Drosophila melanogaster: one gene and its partners. The protein of the gene in region 1 interacts with the protein of each later gene in a pairwise test. Each region holds a gene or a part of one and is shown in the gene's direction. Other genes may lie near its edges.

Region 1 (6,208 bases):
CAGTAATGGCGACCACCGCCTCTCCAAATCCATTGACCGAGAACACATCGCAATAGGCCTTTGTGTAGCCGTCAAACAGATCGATGTACTCTTTGTAATGACAGATAAACAACAGGTCGGCAGGCTGCACAAAGTCCGCTCGGTAGAATCCCTCTAGCGAATGCAAAGTGGCCACTAGCAGGCACAGTATTCTCTCCCAGTTGATCAGCAAGGGACCGAGGGCGCTGAGCGGCTCCAGTGCCGACTGTCTTTGCCAGATTTCGAGTGTTTGGACTGCCTGTCGATGCTTGAGAAGCAGTTGTAACTGTGACTGCAGATGACTCAGATAGTAGTGATACTGCCGCTGGAACTGCCTTTGGTTTTGAAGTGTGTATCCGCCAGAACACATAAGCAAACGTAGTTGTCTGGGCCACGCTGCTCCCAACTGAAGCTGGAGAAGCGTCTGCGCGTATGTGCTGGACTGCTGCAGATGTCGCATTGGAGGCGCAGGTTGAAGGGAATGTATTTGACCCGAGGCATTGAGCAGTAGTGTATGGTAGTCGCCGCAAGTCGCCTCAAGCGCCGAGTTTTGTTCTATGGGTAGTGCTGCCGTGTTTTCCGTAATTGTGATCTCCATGGGCGAGCTGACATCTTCACCCAACTGAGAGTGGTTGTTCAGGCCCCAGTGGTAGAGCCTTCCGTCCAGAGTGCGGGCCACCGTGTGCTCTAATCCAGCTGCAATGCTGCACACGCCCATGCTGTCTAGTTTCTGCAAGCGCATCACATTGGCCCTCCGGATATGATCCCCACTGCCCAGGAGACCATTATTGGAGGCTCCGAATGTGAAAAGTTGGGTGTGGAGCAGAGCGTATCCTTGGTGAAGAAGGTGCCTTGTGTTAGCCGCAACGCTGCGCTCCGAGTGGCCACTGCTTATGGATTTTACAGAGGCCCGTTCATCCTCGGGTTCTTCCTTCGCACTGGCCACCGACAGCTGGAGTGCATCGTCGGCCAGGTTGTAGGGAGCTACTAACATCACAAAGTGCTCGTTTCCGGCTGCTAAGTCCAACAGTTCCTTGCCCTCTTCGTAAAGGCGCATGTGCCGAGGCTGTTGTTCTGCCTTGAAGACTTCGCCGCAGCTGCCCATGACATAGGTCTCCCCACTAGCGCCGACGAAGACAACGCCCTGGGCGGAGCAGCAAACCCGTCGGATGCGTACGCCCTCAGCATGCAATTCGAGAGGGTCGAAACCGAGGGTTTGCCACGCATGTGGATGACCCACATCCCGGCCAGATCCCGTGGCTTGGCGCTGCACAGAGCCATTGGTGAGGACTACGAATAGTTCCTGACTGCCGGAGCAGAAGTCCATATCCACAACATCGGTACGCAGGAGTTGAAGATCCATGTGTTCGCGGTTGGCCTGCAGCTTGGCGGAGTAGAGGGCGTGGTCAGTGGTCAGAAGGAGCAGTTCCCCGCCGGCATTGCTGCAAATCCGGGATGCGGGAAACCGCTGCAGGGGCGGCAATCCGCGCCAGTGAAGCTGTAGCTCCCTGCCTTCATGATAGATGGTGAAGGACTCCCGCTCCTCCTGACCCCCAAGTGCCGAGTCATCCGCTGCACTGGCCATGATGTGCAAATTTTTGTTGGGGTTTTGGACAGGGCCAAAGCTTTGTAACACGACGCAATTGCTCGATTTGTCTGCAGGTCGTTCTCACATCGTGCACGTGCTCCGGTCCACGCTAGGCACTACTGGCACCAACGAACATCATATAACTTGATTCGGAATGCAACTCTAGCTGCCACGATAAAATAAATTCTGTTTTCACTTGTTCTTAACTGGCTAATAAGAATTCATGTTTTTGTGATGGTTTTTTGGATTAGTGTGACCAGCGCTATCGAGTCCCAATGAGAATTTATTAAGTAAGGGTGTTCGGGTAAAAGTGACGTTCTAAAATTGGGCTTATCACTATTTATTTGGTCCATGCAAATTGTTGTTTTATAACCAATTTTGAAAACACACATAATACCTTATACGTAAACTCAATATTGTAGTTAGCTAGAACTCTTATATAAATTTAAATAACTCCTTAGTTGCATTCGCCATAATCATGGAACCAGTCAACACAAAAAAGTTATTTTGGTATTTTTTTGCGATACATCAATTTGTTTTAATATGGTCATATTGTTTTTGCCATCAGCTGTTCGACTCAAAAGTTTTTGCATGTTTTGTTTATTTCGCTTAAAATGTAGTTTTATCGTTAATTAGGAAAAGTTACCCACGGTAAAAAAAAACAACCGTCAACAATTGTTCAGAAACATCAACTAGTACGACTCAGTGGACACCTCCGTGTGGTACTGCTGGTTTGCATACGCCCACAAAAGTTGTTTTAAGCCACAAACTCACCCTCCTAAAATAAAATTTTTTCAGCTCGGTTATGGATTTGGACTGCGAGGGCGCTACAGCTTTGGCTGACGACTCAGGGCACTTTAGCTGCACTAGCGATGATGGAGTAGGAGATCCTGCTCAGAAACCGGCGCCGCAGCCTGAACCGGACCAATCGATTTTTCTGGTGCGGCAAGAGCTGCTTCGGACGCGCAGTGAGGTGCAAAGGCTCTTAAAATCGGAGCAGTGGTACAAGCAGGAGCTTAAGTCCCAGAAGCACAGCAGGCTACAGACGCTAGAACGATTGTACGCACAGGAACGGAAGTATTTGATGGAGAACCAGAAGCTGCAGCAAGAATCGATCCGCCTGCACACACAATGCGCCACTCTGGAGAAGCAGCAGGAGCAGGGCTCACCATTTTCCCCTGGCTCATCGCCGTTTAAAGCAGACTCGGAGTCACACGACTCCTCTTTTGAGGCCAAACAGCAGGAGGCGCGCCTACGGGATCAGCGTCAGTTGATCGACGTGCTCCGAAGGCAAAAGAAGATGCTTCTGGACGACATCCAGAGGATCAGTCTGGAACACGATGAAAAACTTTCGCAGTTGCAGCAAACTGTTGTCGGCATGGAGCTGGAGAGCAAGCACGTGACTGGAAAATGCAAGCAACTACTTGACCTTAAAAGTCAAATGGAGCACCAGCTAGAGCTAAGAAGCACTACCCTACGCAGTGTCACCGCGGAGCGTGATCAGCTGCGCCAAGTCATTGCTGAGCTTAACGAGACGCTGCAAACGCAGGAGCATCTGTTAGCGCTAAAGGAACAGGAGTTCCTGGATTTGAAACAGTACTACCAACAAAAGCTGAAACGGGAGAGTAGCATGGAAATTATGCACTCTTATAGCATGAAATTTCACGAAGAGATCAACAGAAAAACGAGTGAAATTGCCAGCCTTAAGAATTCTCTTAACGAGCTTCAGGCCGAGCTGATGCTGATGTCTCACATGAAAGAGCAATGCGAGGAACAGCAGCGTCAGCTTGAGCAACTGGAGTTCGCATTGCAGGCACAACTTTTGGAGGAGACTCAACTTCGGCAAAGCAATGCTCTAAAACTGGAGCAGGTGGAAAATTTAACAATTTCTTTGGCTTCGTTACAACTAGATAAGGAAGGCTTAAAAGAAAATTTAGGTGAGGCGCAAAAGACCTTGAAAAATCTACAGCAGAAGGTGGACATTCTTCAAAAACAGTATGCCGAAATGTGCTCCTTGTGTCAAAAGACTAAACAGCAATTGGAACTGGAGAAAATCGAGATTGCCAAAATGAAGCAAAACGGTTCCTTAAAGGAAAGTGAGCTAATGGAGAAACTCAAAGATTATGCAGCGCAGTGTGATGAGCTGAGAAAAGCGTTGGCCGAAGCAGAGTCCCGTATCGATGTCCAAATCAAAAAGACAGAGGGCTGGCAAGTGCAGTTGAAACACAACCAAGCGACCCAAACGGACCTCGAAGATCCGATTTTAGTTCAACGCATTGAGACTTTGGAACAACAACTAGCGGATGTCAGGAGCCAAAAATTGCACACAGTTTCGCTGCTCCAAATACTGCTTCAACAGCAAGAAGCTAAAATCAAGAGCACTAACGAAATGGAAGCAGACTGGCAACAACTGTTAGATGCTCTGCAAGCTACTCAAAGCTTGGAGCAGGAAATGCGATCAGAACTACAGCATAAGACGGTTGAATTGGAGCACCTGAATGAATTGTTCGCTGGACAAAATGATGAACTGCAAAAGCTCCAGAAATTGAGCCAAGCGCAGGACGAGGAAAATCGACTAGAGTTACAGCTTTTGAAGAAAACATTCCAAGAGAATCTGAAGATAAACTCCGCTGCGTCGATTAACATGCAAAGGCTGCAAGGCCAGGTAAAGTCTTTGCTAGATGAGAAGGAGGAAATTGCGCGAGAAGAACGCAAAGCAGTAGAGTGTTTGCGATCTCTTGGTCACGTTCTTGAGATGGAAACAGGAAGGAGGCTACCACATATAAAAAGCTGGCCTCAGTTGGCCAAAATTCTTCGAAAGGAACTGCGAAATGGGAGGGTTAACAATCGAAAGGCTGAAGAGCTTCCTGGGCTTAAAATGAAGCTGGCGGAGATCAGCGGAAGGCATCAGCAAGCTTTGTCAAAAATTAAGGTATGTTATGTCTTACTCCCTTAAAGTAACTCTTTGTAACACAATTAATTGCTTTTTACAGTGTCTGGAGCACACTTTGGTAATGGAGCGAGCGCGGTTTGAGGCCTCGGACTCGGGCAAATCGACGGCTAGCAACACGCCCCAGGAACCCGCCCATGAAGTGGCTAATCTTATTGATGACTACAAGAAGGTAAGTATGTTCCCCTCCGATTGGCTTCTCTTGACATTTCCTTAATTGATTTACAGCTCGTTCAGCAAACCGCCAATGAAACATGTCGCCCTCGCAACAGCTTCATATTCGATCTGATTGAGCGGAGTCAGCGATGCCAACCGAATTTGTGCCAATTAGGCGAGGGTATTTCCGCCTGCCAGTCTGATATGAAGGAGCTAAGCAGGATTATTATTGCTGGTCGGGAACGGAGGAGAGTGGAGCCCATGCCCTCCCTCATGGATGAACTTCGAGCGGTGGCCGAGCACTCTTAGACGAGCATAATTTAGTTTTCAGTCAAATACTTATAAATTTCCTATTTAGTACCTATTTGTTTAGTCTCAAATTTTGTTTTCCTAAAAGGGGCAATTAGTGAATTGAGTTTTTGTGCCTAGTCTCATAGGCCTAATTTTCAATCAGATCCAACTTAGTTCAATTTATATAAATATTTATTTTGTTGTCTTTTGTGTTCGTTATCTTTATTTATGTGTAACGCATTCTGTTAGTTTCACCAATTCTATATACATACTAATTGCCAAACTATACCAATATTTTTTCTACAAGATATATAAACCATTGTTGGTTGCCACAAAAATGTGTAATTATTTTTATAGTCCATAACATTTAAAGTTAAAAACCTTGTGTAGATAAAACATATTTGTGTGAAGTCGATCAGTGCACATCATTTACTTTCGTGGGCACCTAGGGATTTTAGTACCATCGTTCTCCGAAATAACTTCCTTTTTGTCATATATCGTATTTCCGTTTTCATCCACGTCCAGAACTTCCTGTATTACCCCTTTTCGAGTTCGTGTTATCCCACACATAGGCTTATCGTTTTTATCCATGCACAAAATCAGGAGCTCAGTGTGCTGTAGATCAGAGGGCTTTAGGACCTTTGTTACCTTACAAGATGCCGTAAACTTTATGGGGCACGTCACCCCGGCACATTGCCAACCATCTGGGGGGAAATAATTATTAACATAGATGTTCCAATACTACTCGTATCCATGTAATCCATACACTTAGTCTTCTTTACCGTCGCTCGATTTAAGTCCTCATTTAGGTGCCGATCTCCGTCTGCCTTAAAATAAATGTACGATCCATAATACTCCATATACGGATTTACCCTTACCACGGTGTGGTCAGCAAAAGATAAAATGGCCAGCACTACCAATATTAAGGAGATAAAGATATTCATAGCTCAACCTTGCTGATGCAGTTTTCCTCTATGACTGATTGATTCAAACAAGTCTGCTGATGTATTGGATCAGCCTAATGTGTAATGTGTGTGTTCCACAGAACAAAGATACACCCCTGCAACTGAGTTCAGAATTTAATAACACTATAGTTTATATACGTTTCCGGACGTCTTACATTGGGAATTGTTATTCCTGTATTGTATTCACAATCAGTCACTTAGAAAGTCGCCTTGGAAGCGGAAACATGTCTTCGTCAGGGT
Region 2 (4,902 bases), on another chromosome or scaffold:
AGCGTTGGCATTTCAATTGTCTAATTGCCGCGTGGGTTTCTCCATAGGCAGAGCTCACTGTGTGGGGGCGTGAGAAAAGCCCCAAAAGACCCGTTTGCCTGCCACTGATCGTGGCTTTCCAATTGCTGGTGTCTTTATTTTCTTTAAATAGAAATCAATGCGTGTATATAGAATATAATCGATGCGTAACAAAATATATTTATATATTTTTTTGAGAATTAAATATCAACACGTTTTTTCTATCTGTGTATGGCCTTTTGTAGGAGATCCCTTTCGGGACCGAGTTAATTGTAAGTCCCTCAATTGCCTAGCAGTAATTTGCAAGTCCATTACAAGCTCTACTTTTCGACTGCTGCCGAAATCAAGCCGAATTATTTTGCCGAATTTCGGGACATTTCTCCGAGAACAATAACCCACATAGCACGACCCCAAAATCTCTTGAAATCCTGCAAAACTGCGCAGCAAGGACTCTCCCACTGGCACACACGCACACACTCATGCACACAGGACGTGGTGTAAATGCTAATTTACGCATTTCAATAGTACAAGTTTTTGGCGAAAATTTTAATTAGACTGCCTTTTTTTTGGGGAAGGGAAAGGCATTGTTAGGCGGCCGACAAGTGAGTAGTTTCTACCAGCTGGAAACCGAATGGTGGCTCGTTTTTTGGGCCATAAATTGGCGTCCTTCATTGAACGGAGAGCGGTTGGAGTTCCGAGTTCGAGTTCGGGTCTGCGAAATAGTTGTTTTCTTGCGCCTTTTTTTGCGCCACCCCAGCCCTGTTGACCATGCCCTCTCCCACTCTTGCGCTCTCTGGCTCTCTTTCACTCACACAAAATGGGCGCCGCACACTGTGGCAATCGGGCACCAATACAACGGCAAGCAGCGCACCAACACTAATGCGTTTCGGTCCGAACTGGAAGTTCGCGGGAAAACTGGAAGGTTACGCGTGTGCGAGAAGAGCACGGCTAGATGGTGCTTGGAAGGCGCTTGCTGCTCTCCTCACTCTAACGGCGAATGGATGTCGCACATGCGCCATGTTGCCGAGGGGAAGGCCCATATGCTGCTGACTCCCTCGCACTCGCTGAGCGGCGAAGAGTGCGGCTAGCGTGCGACAGAGACCGCCCCTGAATATTTACCGTTGCCGGGCAGCGCAGTCGACGCGAGCGTCGCTGTCGGCGCGCTGCTTTTGCCGCCGTTGCCGCCGTTACTGCTGTTGCTGCTGCTGTTGGTGTTGCTGCTGCTGCTGCAAATGTTGCTGCTGCGCTTGCCATGCGATTTGAGGTCCTCGGAAGAGCAAAGCTCCGCTGGCCGTTTACCGTTTGTTAGCTGAATGCCTCCTTGGCCAAATCCAAAGCGAAATGCAAAGCCAAGTCGAAAGCCAACCACCAGCAGCAACATAACGGCAGCAACAGCACGACAGCAACAGCAACAGCAAACAGAAACAGCAACTGCGACGACAAAACTCCTGGTGCACATTAACGCAGGCAACAGTTTAACGTGGAAATTATTGCGAATTTGTTGTGTGTTTTTCTGCGACGCGTGCCAGCGCAAAATCTCAAAACCTCCATTCGCAAATCCCATTTCGCGTAGTCTTTACAACATTGCAAAACTTGCCTTTGCTTTGTTTTTTTTTTTGTTTTCTGGGTTTCTCAATTGGGACTGCATGATGTTTTCAAGCGATTTGTTTTGACAACGGCAATATCTAGACGTAAATCGAAATATTAGCAATCGAAAATGCCGCAGCGTTCGCCATTTGCCATTCAGGAGCTGCTGGGCTTGGCGGTGGCGGCGGCCACAGAAGCGCCAACCGATCTGACGACAACTGCCGGTGCAACGGTGGCAAAAGAGCGCCAAACGCCAACGCCGCCAAAGACAACAAATGCCACAATGGCAACAGCAGCAACATCAGCAGCTACGGCAGCAACACCAACAAATGCGGCCGAAGGCAATTTAACGAGCGTTTCGGAGCCACAGCAGCAGCCGCAGCAGCAGCAACAAGAGCAGCAGCACCACCAGCCGCACCACCATCAGTACAGGGAGCACCACCAAATGACCATGGCGGCCGCCTCGCGAATGGCCTACTTCAATGCCCATGCGGCGGTGGCAGCGGCCTTTATGCCCCACCAACTGGCCGCGGCGGTGCACCATCATCATCAGCATCAGCACCAGCACCATCCACACCACCACCCGCACCACCCACACGGAGCCGTTGGCGGGCCACCGCCGCCGCCGCCGATGCAGCACCACCACCCCCACCATCCGCACCACCCGCTGCTGCACGCGCAGGGTAAGCCAATGTCCCCGCCAGCGAACCACTCAAATTGCAGTTAATTGCAGTTAGTAAAACACAGATATATATATTTTTTTCATTTATGCATATACTGAACATGGGAAAGTTGAAAAGTGCCGTAGCTAACTTACATATATTTCGCTATAGCGATTTTAAAAATCTTTTGTTCGATGTATTTACACTGACAATCAAAGCTTAAACGCAATTAGCAATCGCAACTGGTTTTGTCACCTGCCAGACACACCAACACAGGCGCACATATACACATGCTCAGATACATTTACAGATTCAGATTCAGATACAGATACATTCGATTCACACGCACACGCACACACAGTGGGGCGAATCGGTGTCTGGAGTGCCGCTTAGTTAGCATAAAAAAGGAATTAATCAGCGGTCCATCGTCCGCCAAATCAGCTTTGGCCCCACTGCAAACGACACAACGCCCGCATCCGCACCACCGCTCCACCGATCCGGCAATCCGGCAATCCGCCTCCGAAGCCACTCCAATCCAAAGCACCACCACTCAAGTTGAGCTGCTAATTGCACTGTGTGTGGATGTGTGTGTGTGAGTGTTTGTGTGTGTGTTGCACTCTGGTTTGAGCATAGCAAAAACTGGGCTTCACAATTGTTGCAATAGTTTGGGCACACTAACGACAATAGTTAGTTTTCATATTGTTTAAATAAAATTCTAGAATCAGTGGAAATCCGAATCAATTTATAATAAGCTTGGTATGCTTTTCGAGTAGGTTTTTGGTCGCTTTTGTGCCACTGTAGGTGCGCCTTTGTTTGGCGATCAGCACAGGCAATGAAACACGCACACTGCAAGAAAATCCCACACACTAACAGTGAACTCGAGTCGACCTGCTGTCTCTCTCGATTCAAAGCTCATTTGCAAGTGGCAATATCATACGAAGTTGGAGCGATGACAGTGAAGGCAGATAAACAGAAAGGCATGAAAAGCCGTGCAGGGATTGGATACACGGTAAAAAACTAGGAACTAGTTGCTGGCTGCCAGAAGTAAGCAGTTGATTAACAACATAAGCACTTCAAATTGTTATATTTCTCATTGGATTTGTGAACTATATCTGGAATGGCATTAATAACAAAATCCTGAAGCGTTTAGCCAAATTTCTTTCACTGTGAAAAGTGCGAGGCTCTGCAGATAATCTTGCAGATTCAAGTGGCAGCTGTTATTATTGTTATTATTATTTTAATTAGCGTTGAAATATCATCATCGTCATCACCGATTTCCATTGCTCTGCAACTGATTCACTGTGCCAATTTCACTGCGCACTCACTCAACTTATGTGGATATGTAGATACATATATGAGTAGATTGAATCTGATTTCTTGATTTCAAATCTGTTTACCCCTACACTTCCGGACCCTTTTTTTTGGGGTCTTATTATTATTATTTTTTTTTTTATTGATTTCGCATGTTGTGCGGCTTTCTTTTTGGCTCGATGTTTATGCGTTATTTTAATTACAATACTCCTATCCGTTTATCGCCCATTTCCACAGTTTCGTCGTAATTTGCGTTTAATAAATGTGGGAAAGAGCACTGCTCTTAGCTGCTAAATAGTTATGGGTAGTATGGGCTAGCAGACTGGGATTACAATTTAAACTATGACCAATTAGTTAAGGTTTTATAAATAGTGGTAATGTATGTAGTATGTAATAGTTGTGCTCATTAGTTTTGGTGCAATAAACAGGGCGAGTTGCTCTGCGATGATGAGAGAGAGTGGGTTGCCTCCGCTAAAAGCATATATTCTAGGGTATGTAATAGTCGTGCTCATAAATAGAGATAGAGAAAGTGGTCTGCCTGTGGTAAAAGCTTATAAATTAGGAAAGGCTTATATGTTTTAGGGTATGCAGTAGTCGTGCTTATTAGTTCACTCCCCATTTTCTTCTGTTCTGTTTAGCCGTGCTTTCTGCTTTTCATTCGCGTCATCCTATTTAATTTTGCATATTTTCAACTCGCTTCGTTGTCGTACGAATATTTCGGGTATCCGTTGTTGATTTTATACCCATTTGCGTGGCCAGCTCGTCAATTAAAAAATCGCATCAGGTTTGGTCGAATCGCGAGCGAATTTCTGGCCGGATTTCGGACGGATTTCCTGTCCAGAGCTGAGTACTTGGCGCCCTCCATTAAGTGCCTTTGATCTTTTACCAGAAGGGAAAACCCAAATCGGAAAATTGGTTGCCCAACGACAATAAGAAAAGCGCTTTTTCTTCGCACACCACACCGCCACACATTTAATTGACAATTTTCACTTTGGCTACGCGCGTCGCTTTGTTGTGACAGTCGTTTTGATGTGTTTGCACATCCCCACACACACATACAATTCAAGATTTTCCTTGTATTGGTGCACTTGTGCTGCAAAGATTTCGACAATTTACTCGCCTCTCGAAATTAACCATTTAGGATTTTCCACTTTTTAGCTGAGCATGCCAACAATGTATACAGATAATAAGTAACTAAGTTGGTATGTATGAGTTCAAAATTTAAGTTAGCCAGCTTGAGATGCTGATGCTGATCCATTGGGGAACGGCTTACTAAATAGATATTACGTTTAAATTCAGTTACGAATATTCGTAAGAGTAATAA
Region 3 (7,294 bases), about 12 Mb from region 1:
AGATGGCCTTGATAAAAATGTTGGTCGAGATGAGCAGCTGAGACCAGAGTCCTGCACCGATCTTTGTCGTTGCCGCACTTGAAGCCAAAGCCAATTGCTTATTGAACACCTGAATCAGCAGCTCCTGCCCGATGCGGTTCTCCAGCATCCGGATTACGAAATGCGCTTTCCTTCGCATCGCCTCCACATACTTCGGCGATACGGTGTGCAAACTCTTGATGGGAAAATAGTGGACAATCTCCTGCTGTTTGCTGGAAGCCGCCGATTGATTTGTGCCCGAAACAGGCAAAGGAGCTGGCGGCTGACTGCAATCGAGAATAATGCCGCCATACTGCTCCTCGTAGCGAACGACACGCGCCAGTTCAGATTGCACCCAAGCACGGTACTCGTTGTTGCCGAAGCACTTCCTGGAATACAATCCACACAGGTACTCCGCAATGCCCTTGGCCAGCCAGGTGTCCGACCAATGATGGGATGTAATAAAGCAGCCGAAGAATTGCTCAGCCACAGCGCGCGACATAAAGGTTCGAGATATATAGGTCTGATCGATGATAGCTATGGAGTGCAGCAGATTCACCGAAGCAATGCTCATAGTGGCATAGGCACTTATGTCCGTGTCCAATTCGTCTACAAACACTTGTTTGTAGCAACTGAATGGGTAGCGCGTAGATAAGGTCTCCTCGTAAAATTCAAATGCCTCGTGCAAATAGCGAACCGTATTTTTTAACAGCGGCAACAATCCGGGCAGACAAAAGTGGGTCACTTCATGCATGTGCGGATCCACGTAGATCTCAAACTGACCCACAGCCAGCGCAATATTTGGTGCACATACTGGTGTGCTAACCGAATAGTGGAAGGTTTTCTTTCGCAGATCTGGGGTCATAATGACTTCTAGAAGTTCTCCACACGAAACGGCGGTCATATTTTTGTCGACAGTGAACTCCAGCCGCCAGGTGCAGGGATCGGCGAAACTGTCCACGCAGGGAAACCACAATCTCGACGAGTTTTCATAGCAATTGGTGAACATATGCGAGCTGTTCATCTGTGTCTCCTCGTCCGTTGAAGCGGGTGGTATGACAAAATGTACGCCGCATTTGGGATTCTCCAACGAGAACTCGATGCGGATGCGCAGACCCTGACCCTCCTGGATCATAGAGTAGCCCTCGGGCGGAACCTGGATGAGCAGTTCGCCGTTGTTCACATCGGGATCGGTGTACTGGGCGGCGGTCAGATGATGCTTGGAGTAGACCTCCAGCGCGCGGCTCTTGTGCTCCTTGTAGCAGATGTTCTGGAAGGGATCGAAGTACGTGAAATCCGCCTGGCAGACATCGTTCAAAACGACGCTGTAGATTCTCAGCTGCTTGGCATTCAGGCGTATCAGGCGCAGATTCTCGCTGTTCGGCACAATGGTCAGCTCGACCACGCCCTAAAGGGAGGAGGTGTGTTATGTTTTGTACATATTTAAGTGTATCTAAGTTATATCCTTACGATTATGCTCCTCCGCTCGAAACTGATGCCCGTGAGGCTCACAACCTGATGCGCCGTGCTATTCAAAAGGGAGAACTCATTATTTTTGGATTCCTAACAGAGCAGGGTGAATACTTATAATTTAAACGGTCGCAGCGGCACCTCGGGCACCTCAGGTTGCGTTTCCATCGCTCAAATGCCGGTTCTGCGCCAGAATTTATTAACTAATTTGCGTTTGTTATAAAAAAAAACACAGCACTGTTTAACTTCTTCTTCTTCTATTGAAAATGCCGACAGGGCTAAAAAAATACCAAATTCATTCGGATAAAGATGGCAACTCTGCGCGACAATGTAGCCCTGCTCGCCTTTTTTTAACCCTCGAAACGTGTTGGGTCTTCAATATTGACACTAATTTAATAGTTTACGTTCGTAAACAATATAGACTACATAACTACTTCTCTAATACCATAAAAATACATTTTTTAGAAAACTAAAATTTATTAAAAGCTATATTTGTTTTTATTGAAACTGTTTAATAAAACAAAATTAATATTTCTATAATATATTTTCTGAGTTAATAAATGAATTAGAATGTTATAAATATTTCATTCTGCATTTTCAAAGCTTTTTTGATTGCACATGCATATTCAAAGAAAATTTATACAGAACGCGCAAGGGTTAAAGATTATGAATCATTTACCGAGAAAGTTAAATTTGGATACTTCTCCCATTTAAAGCGTACGATTCTCAGCGAGTCAGCAGTTTTACCACGGCAGCGAGTTAATAAACATCTGGATATCATCCAGTTCCGTAGTTTTAGCCGATTTGCAACGCCATTAGTAGTTAGATTTAGGGAAAAACCAGTGCGTGGACGAGGAAAACCACAGCGAAAAACCAGTAAAAATGTACGGCATTGATAATTACCCCAAGAATTATCATGCCAGTGGCATTGGCCTTGTCAATTTGGCGGCCTTGGGCTACAGCAAGAATGAAGTCAGCGGCGGGAACGAAGGAGGAGGAGCTCCCAAACCCAAAGCGGGTCTCTACCCCTCGTTGCCCTATCCATCATCCGAATCCGTGGGCGGAATGCCATATGTGGTAAAGCAGACGAGTCATGCCCAGAATGCTTCGTATGCGGGACCCACCATGGGCATGGGAATGCCCGTGCCAGAAGCCCCCTCAGCGCCGGCTCCATACCCCAGTGCCACGCCATACCCTGGATCAGGACTTTATCCTAGTCTGCCATCAGCCAACGTATCATCGCTGCCGTACCCCACTGCGCCTATGGCGCCCTATCCAACCGGAATGCCCTATCCAACTGGCATGCCGCAGCCCAATCTACCCTATCCGGCGGCTCCGCTCGCACCATATCCATCTGCCATGCCCGGTTTGCCCGGTATGCCAATGCCGTACGCTCCCATGCCAACGAGTCCGGCTCCCCAGCACAATATCGGATTCCCAGCACTACCATATCCCACGGCACCGCCACCGGAAAGTGCTCCAACCCAGGAGGAGGAACCTTCCGTCGGCGTGGCCGAGCTAAGCTTCACCAGCGTGAAGGTGCCCGAGAACCAGAACATGTTTTGGATGGGTCGCAAGGCCACTAGTGCCCGGCAGAACAGCGTAAGCAAAGGCGATTTCCAATCGCTGCGCGACAGTTGCCTGGCTAATGGAACCATGTTCGAGGATCCCGATTTTCCGGCCACCAACGCTTCGCTGATGTACTCACGACGACCGGATCGCTACTACGAGTGGCTGCGTCCCGGTGACATCGCCGATGATCCGCAGTTCTTCGTGGAAGGCTATTCACGATTCGATGTGCAACAAGGAGAACTTGGCGATTGGTAAGACCAAACGCATTAATAACACATAAGTGGACATAAATTCAAAAATTAAATATTCCTTCACAGCTGGCTACTGGCTGCAGCTGCCAATTTGACGCAGGACTCGACGCTCTTCTTTAGGGTAATCCCGCCGGATCAGGACTTCCAGGAGAACTACGCTGGCATCTTTCACTTCAAGTTTTGGCAGTATGGCAAGTGGGTGGAAGTGGTCATTGATGACCGTCTGCCCACCTATAATGGCGAGCTAATCTACATGCACTCCACGGAGAAGAACGAGTTTTGGAGTGCCTTGCTGGAGAAGGCTTATGCAAAGCTGCATGGATCTTATGAAGCACTCAAGGGTAGGAAATGGAATATTATCAGTATTTGTAGAAGCGTAGAAAATTTGTGGCATACCAAAATTTATTTTAGTTTCTAAAAATACACTATGCTTATCATATGTTCTTAAAAAAAAATAAACTAATGTGGCACTTATCGCGGTTAGGACTTTGTTGAATAGATCTGAAATTTAAATACTTTCATTCTAATAATTTTTTTGTAACCATCTCTTCACGATTAGGCGGCACCACGTGCGAGGCCATGGAGGACTTTACTGGCGGCGTCACCGAGTGGTACGACATCAAGGAGGCGCCCCCAAATCTATTCAGCATCATGATGAAGGCCGCCGAGCGTGGCTCGATGATGGGCTGCTCTTTGGAGCCGGATCCACATGTTCTGGAAGCGGAGACGCCACAAGGTTTGATTCGCGGTCATGCATACTCCATTACCAAGGTGTGCCTCATGGACATATCGACGCCCAATCGGCAGGGAAAATTGCCCATGATACGTATGCGTAATCCATGGGGCAACGATGCCGAATGGAGCGGTCCGTGGAGCGACAGCTCGCCTGAGTGGCGATTTATTCCGGAGCACACGAAGGAGGAGATTGGCCTGAATTTCGATAGGGACGGCGAGTTCTGGATGTCCTTCCAGGACTTCCTCAATCATTTTGATCGCGTGGAGATATGTAATTTGTCGCCCGACTCGCTGACTGAGGATCAGCAGCACAGCTCTCGCCGCAAGTGGGAAATGTCCATGTTCGAGGGTGAGTGGACATCGGGAGTAACAGCCGGCGGTTGCAGAAACTTCCTGGAAACCTTCTGGCACAATCCGCAGTACATCATTTCGCTGGAGGATCCCGACGACGAGGATGACGATGGCAAATGCACGGCTATTGTGGCCCTTATGCAGAAGAATCGACGTAGCAAGCGCAACGTGGGCATCGACTGTCTGACCATCGGATTTGCTATATATCATCTCACAGACCGTGACATGCAAGTGAAGCCCCAGGGACTCAACTTCTTCAAGTACCGAGCATCGGTGGCGCGTTCACCACATTTTATCAACACGCGCGAGGTTTGCGCCCGGTTTAAGTTGCCACCTGGCCACTACCTGATTGTTCCATCGACCTTCGATCCGAATGAGGAGGGCGAGTTCATTATTCGCGTCTTCTCGGAGACAAGGAACAATATGGAGGAGAACGACGATGAGGTTGGCTTTGGCGAGACCGACGATCGCATTGCTCCGTCTCTGCCGCCACCGACTCCAAAGGAGGAGGATGATCCGCAGCGCATTGCACTGCGTCGTCTGTTCGACAGCGTGGCTGGCAGCGATGAGGAAGTCGACTGGCAGGAGCTGAAGCGCATCCTGGACCACTCTATGCGCGATGTTATGGTGGGCAGTGATGGCTTCTCCAAGGATGCCGTGCGTTCGATGGTAGCCATGCTGGACAAGGATCGCTCCGGTCGCCTTGGTTTCGAGGAGTTCGAAGCTCTGCTTACCGATATTGCCAAGTGGCGGGCGGTCTTTAAGCTATATGACACCCGTCGCACTGGCAGTATTGATGGATTCCATCTGCGCGGAGCACTCAATTCGGCTGGCTATCATCTGAACAACCGGCTCCTGAACGCCCTGGCCCATCGCTACGGATCGCGGGAGGGACAAATACCATTCGACGATTTCCTGATGTGTGCCATCAAGGTTAGAACATTCATCGAGATGTTCCGCGAACGGGACACGGACAATTCGGACACGGCCTTCTTCAACTTGGACGACTGGCTGGAGCGAACAATTTACTCTTAAATTACTTGCAATTGCTACTAATCTAATCCTAAGTGCGACGTATACTTAATCTACCTGTGCATCATATTATTCATGCATTCAAATGAGAAAGCCAACACACAAATCCATGACAATGCGATCCGGCGATGCAAAGAGATACACTCACTGAGCCAACAAGAGAATCTTATCTATATGACCATATCCGGAAATACAAATCATGTGGCGAAATTGGAGTGGCCTTGGAACGGCACGAGGTTGCTACGAGTATGCACGGTAAACAGTATAAATCCCGCATACACAATTCAAAAAATTAACGCTATAGATTTTTTTTTACCATGCTGCGCAACTGGAGGGATGACTAAGAGCAAGCATCAATAGCAAATCCACTCCATGCACCTCGTCAAGAGCCGGAAATTTACTAGTACAAACAGTGCATTATTACCTTACAATCGCTATGAGACGCTCGGAAAGCCATTAGAACGCATCGACAATATTTATTAGATATACGGAATGAATAAGCATGTATTTTTGTAACATCGTTAGCTCCGAGCAGTCCACATATTTGCCCAGGTGCTAGAAATAAGTCCAGCCAAACTCTGTTACCCAAACAAACGTTGTTATTATTATCAGGAAAGTAACGCGAAGCGAACAAGCCAACCAACTCATCGAATATTTATAAGCTTAAGCAGAATTTCAGAATATCAGTCAATTTATTGAATCACATCAAAAAATGTAATACGCATATATTTTGTATTTAGTTTTCAGATCAGTAATCTCAAAACATACCTTAATTAGGCACCCTCTATGTCAAAATAAGTGTTTAACTAACTGAAATTAACCAATCGGGTTTAGAGGCTCTTTTTGTTGGATGCTTTTATATTTTACTATAATTTTTGTGAATTAATCAAAGTTACTCTTGTATGCAATTGTTACTATTAATAATTTGTTGTCCGACTTTTTGTATGCATATAAATAAAATGCAGTGATGATTCAATCTACTTGACGACTATAACTACATCAGCACCATTCGGGACGCCAGCATCGATCATTATTTGCTTCATTTCATCTATAGCCAGATTGTTATCGGATGCCAAGTTATTTAGGACCTCGAGAAAGTCTTCGTACTCCAAACGCCATTTCCTGAAACATGTATTTGATTAAGAATGATATGTAGATTTGATGTAGTTACTCACTTGTATCGCATGTATATTAAACCGGTCTGAGTTCGAGTTATGGGATTGGGCATGAGCTTGGCCTGCTCTAGCCAGGCGTCCAACTGCGAGAGGAGTATGCTGTCAAAGTACTCGTTCTCGATGTCGGTGGGTATGACCTGGCATCATTTAGATGAAAATTACTCTTCAATTAACCGGGTCATTCATCATACCTGGAAGTTGGAATACACCAAGAACAGGCTGTCCAGCGTGTGCTTCTTTGGTTTATCTTCATCATCGGCCATCGTGTATTATGTGTGTTGGGTGTTGTGGTGTAGTGTATTAAATCGAATTTGTACAAACGAGAATGGTTTCCCCTGGCAGATAAAGAGCAGTATTCTGTGTGGGTGTCATGGCTATATGTATGTGTATTTTGAATTGTTTTGTTGATAAACAAAACGTACAGAGAATCGGATGCTATCTAGACAACTGTTGCCATGGGCACGGGCCATCGTTCTAGAATTGTTTACTGCAAAAGTTTTGAACGACCTCTTGGACGCATATCGCCAGCTTGGGATTCCAATCGAGGTATCGGATATTCTCCGTGGCATACGGCGCATCGATGACCACCTGACGGAGTATATTGATCGCCACTTGGTCGCCTTTGTTCTGCCAGATGATAGCGGGATCACCGAATCGCTTGACTAACAGTCTGAACAGAGCTTGACCAAA

Evidence for each region. The genes of interacting proteins can lie anywhere in the genome.
Region 2: the proteins of CG11248 (region 1) and Vsx2 interact in a two-hybrid assay, tested with the Drosophila melanogaster proteins (one large-scale study listed by BioGRID).
Region 3: the proteins of CG11248 (region 1) and CalpB interact in a two-hybrid assay, tested with the Drosophila melanogaster proteins (one large-scale study listed by BioGRID).

Annotation. Positions count from the first base shown.
Region 1 is NT_037436.4:21,677,896-21,684,103, forward strand, and holds CG11248 (uncharacterized protein), read left to right. Parts: upstream 1-2,154; 5' UTR 2,155-2,257; exon of another isoform or gene 2,258-2,337; intron 2,338-2,404; 5' UTR 2,405-2,411; coding exon 2,412-4,538; intron 4,539-4,599; coding exon 4,600-4,728; intron 4,729-4,784; coding exon 4,785-5,021; 3' UTR 5,022-5,336; downstream 5,337-6,208. Other genes in the region: Als2 (amyotrophic lateral sclerosis 2), read right to left, coding at 1-1,603; Sfp78E (seminal fluid protein 78E), read right to left, coding at 5,433-5,707, 5,770-5,947.
Region 2 is NC_004354.4:5,556,796-5,561,697, reverse strand, and holds the start of Vsx2 (visual system homeobox 2), read left to right. Parts: upstream 1-1,514; 5' UTR 1,515-1,735; coding exon 1,736-2,288; intron 2,289-4,902.
Region 3 is NT_037436.4:9,886,914-9,894,207, forward strand, and holds CalpB (Calpain-B), read left to right. Parts: upstream 1-1,848; 5' UTR 1,849-2,370; coding exon 2,371-3,311; intron 3,312-3,377; coding exon 3,378-3,652; intron 3,653-3,870; coding exon 3,871-5,432; 3' UTR 5,433-6,406; downstream 6,407-7,294. Other genes in the region: Taf2 (TBP-associated factor 2), read right to left, coding at 1-1,426, 1,489-1,543, 1,607-1,656; CG6709 (uncharacterized protein), read right to left, coding at 6,407-6,551, 6,605-6,741, 6,796-6,867; Hez (hezron), read right to left, coding at 7,079-7,294. UniProt on the Drosophila melanogaster protein: Calcium-regulated non-lysosomal thiol-protease.